Drosophila melanogaster: one gene and its partner. The protein of the gene in region 1 interacts with the protein of each later gene in a pairwise test. Each region holds a gene or a part of one and is shown on either strand. Other genes may lie near its edges.

Region 1 (3,588 bases):
AAACTGAAGACTAACTAACAACCAAGTTAAGGGCTAGTTAATGGAGCCGGTGCCAAAGCAAAAAAGGAAAAATGATAACAACACCTACACACACGACAACTAAATGTAACAATAGCAATACATTTTAATGAAAATTGTAGTCCAAATAATTTGCATACATTTGTATTTTGTCCAAACTTAGTTGAAATGATTAACCGAACTGTGAAAGAGTGCAATAGAAATCGTTTTGCTTCTAGATTAGTGAAAAATACAACGAAGCCCCTAATTTGAATACGAAGCAACCCAAAATCCCCGCCCTCCCGTAATAACAATAAATACATATGCATAATTATGCAAAAGTTTGAGAAGATGAAACTAGAAAGTCTGTATAATGCATACATAATATACGACTCCATTATACACACACACACGCATACTAAGGCCGATGAATAACATATGCATATACAATATAGACATATATTAAATATATATCATTGTAATAATTTGTAATGTTTATCAGTAGAATTATGATCCGAGGTGGAGCAGACGAGTAAAACGCATGCAGAGATCCATTAAAGTGTACTGTAAAATGTGCCACACATTGTTTTATCTAAATTTATTAAAGGATTTATTATTTTGCAGAGGGTAAGTTCTAAAACTTAAAAACTAGTCCTGTTTGGAAGATCCTAATCATTGCAACGTTTTATAAATCAAAGCCGAACTCTTACTCTAGTAAAAATTTGGCTACGTTCGGAAAATTAGCCAGAACATAGGAAAAACCCTACTGAATTAAACAAAAAAAAACGTGTTTAACATTTGGCTACGATCGTGTTAGTATTGCATACTTTTAGGTCCATCTTTTTGCACAGAGTTTTGTGTGAATCAACAATAAAATTGGCACTGGAATTGGTCGATGGCGTCCCACTACTGATTGCCAGGCGCCGTTGCTCCTGTAGTCTTCATGGCCAGCATGGCGTCCAGTTCGCCCTGGATGCTCTCGAACTGATTGTACAGTTCCATTAGTTCCGGTTGTGTCATTTCGATGTTGATATCCTCGCCGACGGCCGTTTTCATTTGGAGCACGGCCAGCGGGGTCTTCTCCCGCTGCTGGCAATGCGAGGAGATCTCCATGTTGAGCTTCCAGGCCACATCTTCGATGACATTTGATTCGTACCGCTTGCTGGCCAAATTGTTCATAATGGGCGTCGTTTCGCGCACCCACAAACGCAATATGGCATCGATCTTGGCCTCATCCTCCAGCTGGAGTTTCTCGCGCAGCTCACGCTGCAGCAAACTTGGCTTGATGATAAACGTGGAGATGCGACGCAGGATGTAGGAGAAGGTCTTGATCAGCAGCAGGAAGTCCTGACGCGGTACGCCCACCAATCGCTCCAGTTCCTCGAGTGTGTACTCCGGTTCGGTGTTACTTGTGGGGTTCTCCTCGGTGCTGCTGTCCACCCGGCCGGTGGTCGTCACACTGGTGCCCACTGTACTACTGGTGGCACTCGCCGATGCTACGCTGGGACTCATCTGCCGGTGGGTGTAGAACAGAACCGTCGTAAAGGTCTCGTAGGGCAAGGCATTGATGATTTTGATGCCCTCACGGGCTCTAAGATATAAATGCAAGAAATTAATCTCTATAAGAACATTGATATTACATACCTTTCCGTGATCTTTATCCAGTTAATGCTCATTGTGAGATATATTTAAAAATTTTTAAGGAACATAGAGTTATTAAGTCTTTACCAGCACTTCTTTTATTATGACTTTAATATTATTTGTTTATACAGACCAACAATATACAAAAAACTATCGACTTGCCACGGTGCGGTGCTGCCACACAGTTACTACTGCCAATAATAACGGTAAGTGCTGACTAAAATACAAAAATATTACATTTTGCGATGTGATTTTAAACATATTCTTTATTAATTTTTTAGATTTAAATGTTTTATTAAATTAATTTATTTTTCTGTATTTAGGCCTGAATAATTTACCTTATAAAATTACAATGTTTTAAATAATATTTGCTGTTATGTTTCCTGCAAAATAAAATTCGTGAAAAAAAGCCGCACCAGCAAATATCAATACCAGATTGTCGACGGCACCGACGATCGACGATTCAATTTGTAGAAGATTATCAAGTACGAATAGTTTTCCAACTCATTAATATAATCGTCCTACCTGGCAACTCCGCTGATGCCTATCGATGCTCCGCTCGATAGCGCCAACAATCGATAAGCAGTATTTGTGTATTGGAAACGCGGCTTAACTTAATGCAGATTTTTCCGCTGATTCGGCTGCGAAAGATGCACTTTTAAGGCGCAGCGAGTGCACCCACGCCCCGAGTTCGAGTGCAGTTGCAGTCGGGAAAGCTTGACAAGTGCGCGGAGCAAGGAGAGCGACGAGTTCGTTGAGCTACAGCGAAACGGAAAAGTGTAAAAGCGGGGTAAACAGGCGCAGCGGAGCGGATGATAAACGGAACTCGGGATCGGAAAATTGGAAGCAAAACCAACCACCGATTATAAAAAATAGTCAGCATCTTAAAAGTAAGGATTTCAAGCTAAGGTTTCAGCGAAAGCCCGAGAAAAACAAAAACCCCAACTAAACTAACGGAACAGTGCGTCGGGATATATGCATGTGTATGTGGTATACGTATGTGTGTCTTTGGCTGCGTGCGATTGTATTGTTCCTGTGTAAATAAACAAAACCCGGCTCTTTAGTCTTCCACTAGTTCGTTTCGCGTTTCTCTGCGAGGAATTTTTGTTGAAAAAACTCAATTTGGCATAGCATAACTTCCAGTTTATTTCCCTATTCTGCAAACTGTGTGTATCAGTGTGCTGGTGCTTCCAGCATGCCGTAAAAATCGATAGCGCGTCGTCGGTTGTTTATTTTATGCTTCGTCTGCATTTTGCAGCCCCTTTTTATCGCTCTCCCCTTTTCAGCCACCCTTGCACACACTCACACTCTCTCCGGCGGAGTCGTGTGATGCATACACACACACACACACAGACACATGCATACGCCTGATACGGGAAATTAAAAATAATACTTTTTATCGCGGCATGCAAAAGGCAAAGCTGCAAAAACAGAAACAATTCCAATTCCAACAGCAATAATCTAGCCATGCAATCAATTTTAGCCAAACAATAAAAAGAATCGTTTGGTTTCAGTTTCCCCGCTTTTCTTTTCCGTTATTTTCCTCTCTATATTCGGTTTTATCGCATTTTCCGCTCATTATGGCAGTTTAGCATATTTATGCTGGAAAAATATTGGGGTTTCTTCGCTTCTTACCTTTGTTTTACGTTTTGTTTTGCTGTCGGGCTGTAAAAACAGCAGTTAATCCAATTAAGAAAAATAAAACTCTAAATGCCATCGCCACCACGAATTCGAAATCACCTTTTATCTACTCAAAAGATATTCATCTTATTTATTTTCCAAGATAAATGTTAAATTATAAATATATTATAGAACCATACACTTGTTGAAATAGAATTTCTGCTAACAGCTGCGAGTTTTACAGTCATAACTATTATTATTATTTATTAACTTAGATTTCTACAGGCTGCGATTTTATAAAAATGATTCAATTTTTTATCTAGACTTTGT
Region 2 (3,755 bases), 4.7 Mb from region 1:
AAATAAAATGTAGAACAAATTGTGGCAAAGATTTCAAGCATTTCGAAAGCACTTGACTAACCGCATGACTCGCTGGGGTTTTCGACCACAACCGAAGATTGGTGTCGAAATCGCGGCACTATAAATACAGAAGCGAGTGGAGAACCAGAACCACAACCACAACCAGACCCATCCCAGTGCACCATGACCCAGCCGTCGCAAGTGGAAGCGGATCCGTAAATAGATCGTAGATCTTCGGCAAAACAATGCGATCACAATGCCAGACGGGAAGGTCAACAATGGTCGGGCAATCTGGCCATATGCATCTACTCTCGCTTTAAAACAAACAGCACCAGCTGTAAGTGAACATGTAATTTATGGCCAGTGGGACAACTGGCAGATTCAGAGGCCTCTCTGCAGCAAAAACAAGCCCAAACTAAACCGAAAAACACACTTAGGGAAAGATCAACACGAGGGCAGGATTTAAAAATGGAATTCCGGAAAGGTATACAATATTTCTATTTCTAGGCCAACTGAAAAGATCTTCAGAGCAGAAAACTTGGCCTTAAGCCATCTTTTTAGCACAGAATCATATTTCTTCTTAAACTTAGTAGAACAAACTTTAAAAGTAGCGATATTTTTTTAAGGCACCTTTAGCACCTTTATTGCAATCCCAAATCTCAATCGAAACTCACCTGTATAGCTTGTAGCAGAGTCCGTGCTGCGTGAAAAAGAGGCCTCTTTCGCCCGGATGGCTCCTGTTCCCGGTGCTCGGCTCAGTCATGGTGTGGGCGTACTTGTAGAGGAAGGCGTACTGCTTGGCGATGACGCGACACTGACGCATTGCCAGAGCGGCTGCAGCGGTGCCCCGGAGGAGCTCCATCTGCTTGGTGGTAAAGTATAGCACGGTGTTGTATTTGGCAGGCAGAACATCAATGTAGGGCCGCCACTCGCTGAACTCGCCACGGATCTTCTCGATGACCAGATCATAGGCCAGGTTCAAGTGGGTGGCCTGCGTCATTTTGCCAAATAGGCGGCAATCGGAGTTGTTTTCCTCGGATAAGATGAGCTTCCGGGGCACGCTGAGCACCAGCTCATCCTTGGCCAACGGTCGGGTGGCCCGCAGACCCAGTTGGTAGCCGGGAAAGATGGCTATCTCCAGTCCCTCACTGTGAACTCCGCCATCTTTGGCCCACGCACTGAACGCCTCCACTTTGGCCAGACGGGTCTGATCGTCGGGGGAATCGCTGATCTGCGGACACACTGCTTGGCTGAGTGGCTCCTCCAGGATCATGATTTGTTTGAGCAGCTCCTGTAGCTGCCCGTACTGCTTCCATTCCTCGTTGGGATTCGCCGGTTGCTTTTCCACCAAGTCAAGCAGTTCCTCGACGAGCTTGTTTAGTTGGCTCCTCTTTTTGCCGTTTAAACTGGGCAACGAACTGGCCGCCTGCTGGTCCTCAAAATCCTCGACTGCTGTGCCGGATGCGGATGCAGTTACTCCGTTTTGTTGTGGCTGCTGTTGCTGCTGTTTTGTCTTCTTGTTGCGCTTCGTGTTCTTACCCATGGCGGTGCCGTTGGTGGGAGCGAGAGAGAAAGACAGAGAGAGAGGAAGACAGAAAGCTAAGCGGTACCGGCGGCCCAAAACAACAACAGCCAAATAAGGAAAATAAAGTCGAGAAATCTGCACGCGGGCGATCAGCTGGCCGGCAGTGTGGCCATTCGTCGGGCGCCACTAAATTACTCCGACAATTGGTCACACATTCGACGAGCTTTTATGCTGAAAACTTTTTAATAGGGGTACTCCTAAGCTTTTTTTTATTACAAAACTTATGTTTTCTTGTAAAATAAATTGTAATTCACGTTGCATTTTTGGCACATCAATAATATTATAATAATTACTCTTTATAGTTATTAAAATGGCCAGTGTTTTTTTATATTTTATGTTGCATTCTTGAAGAGCGGGAAATTTAAATTGAGAATTTGTCCTAAAATCCAGGTTGCAGAAGCTCGTATGTATAATAATATATTTATTTATTTATATAAATAAAATCGCTCTTTCCATGTCTTTTAGTTTCTATTTATAAACAATTTGACAATGGCCCATAGGGTTATCTTAGATTTTCTAAACGTCATCCAATTGAGAAACGTTATGTTGATAACAAGAAATCCACGAAATAAAAATGTTATTGTACGAAAAAGAAATAATTGTTTGTTGAGCTTTGTGGGTTTTTGCAAAACAAAAACAACAAGAAATATTTACGATTTTCTTATCTACGGTAAAAAAAACTTGAACTAAAAAACTAGGAGATAATGCCGCTCATCAGATGTTTACGCACTTTGTGCCATTTTTGGCTAGGGTGGACCAACACACAAATCAGCGTTTGAGTTAATAGTAAGAAACAAATTCCGTCCAAATATACAACCTAGGATACGAAATCTAAAACATGATAAGTGCATCTTGTAAGAAAGACGCAGTTTGAGAAACTTTCGACAAATACGGAATATGGTCCACCCTAAGGCGCTCAAGCAATTTGAGAGTGGCTCAGTTCTCAGTTCAGTGACTCCAATGCAGCAACAACGGCGGTTGGAGCACCAGCGGGCAGAGCGCGAAAGAGAGGCAGTGGTGGGGCTCCAAAGGCGTAGGCAGGATGGACCATCCAAAGGGGTTCCAGATCGCCTCTTCTGTATAAGTTATCCATAAATAGCTTATACACTGCATCCTTTATGAGTATAATGTGGTAAATGTATAAAGAATCCCGGTATATTAATTGGCAACTCATCTTTAATTTCGGATCACTGATAACCAACCATATTCCCCTGCTATCCCCGCCTTTGGTGACCTGGCTGCCATGTTTCGAGCTGCAGAACTGTTTCTTCCAGCCACCAACTTCTCAGTGCAATCGAGTCGTTCGAGCAGAGAAGTTGGGAAATCCCGTAGAAAAGTAAAACTCTAGGAAAAGAGAGATCGGGAAGGAGAGATAGAGCGATCATGTCTGTGAATGCGGATCTGCAGAGAGAGCGGGCGGCGGCCACCTTGGACAGCGAGGACTTTGCCCGCTGGTGGGCGGGTGGCTCTGGGCAGCTGGAGGAGCGCCGCGCCCTGGAAAGGCGTTTCTATGAGGATCCCGACTTCGCGGAGCCAGTGCATCCGAGCTGTCTGTCATACAAGGAGCGCTACGAACAGACCGTGGCCCGATCCACACGCTTCCTGGCCAAACTGCGCCAATGGCAGCGGGAGAAGCAGCCACAACTTCAGCTTAGTGTGAATATGCTGAGGGACTTTCGGCTGCTACTCTCCGGATCCCTGGGCACGGGCCTCTTCCAGCAGAGCTTCCCCCTTCGGGTGCATTTCTCCATGTTCATGACCACCTTGCTGAGCCAGGGAACCGAGGAGCAGCAGGCCCAGTGGCTCAATCGATCCTGGCACATGGACGGCGTCCTGGGCACCTATGCGCAAACGGAGCTGGGTCACGGCACCTTTGTCCGGGGCCTGGAAACCCGAGCCGACTACGATCCCATCACGCAGGAATTCATCCTGAACACCCCAACGCAAAGTTCATACAAGTGGTGGCCCGGCGGACTTGGTAATACCGCCAATGTGGCCATTGTGCTGGCCCAGCTATATGTGAAGGGCAAGCATTATGGCTTGCAATCATTTGTGGTGAGGATCAGGGACGAGAGGACACACGAACCGTTGACTGGAGTCGATGTGGGCGATATAGGACCTCGCCTGGGTGGCAATGGCGTTAACAACGGCTTTCTGGGACTCCGCGACG

What was found. The genes of interacting proteins can lie anywhere in the genome.
Region 2: the proteins of Vlet (region 1) and Setd3 interact in a two-hybrid assay, tested with the Drosophila melanogaster proteins (one large-scale study listed by BioGRID).

Annotation. Positions count from the first base shown.
Region 1 is NC_004354.4:11,676,762-11,680,349, forward strand, and holds Vlet (valette), read right to left. Parts: upstream 1,791-3,588; 5' UTR 1,674-1,790; coding exon 1,642-1,673; exon of another isoform or gene 1,589-1,641; coding exon 904-1,588; 3' UTR 583-903; downstream 1-582. UniProt on the Drosophila melanogaster protein: Scaffold protein in the commander complex that is essential for endosomal recycling of transmembrane cargos; the commander complex is composed of the CCC subcomplex and the retriever subcomplex.
Region 2 is NC_004354.4:6,967,050-6,970,804, forward strand, and holds the start of Setd3 (SET domain containing 3), read right to left. Parts: upstream 1,702-3,755; 5' UTR 1,544-1,701; coding exon 675-1,543; exon of another isoform or gene 1-674. Other genes in the region: CG4586 (uncharacterized protein), read left to right, coding at 2,969-3,755. UniProt on the Drosophila melanogaster protein: Protein-histidine N-methyltransferase that specifically mediates 3-methylhistidine (tele-methylhistidine) methylation of actin at 'His-74'.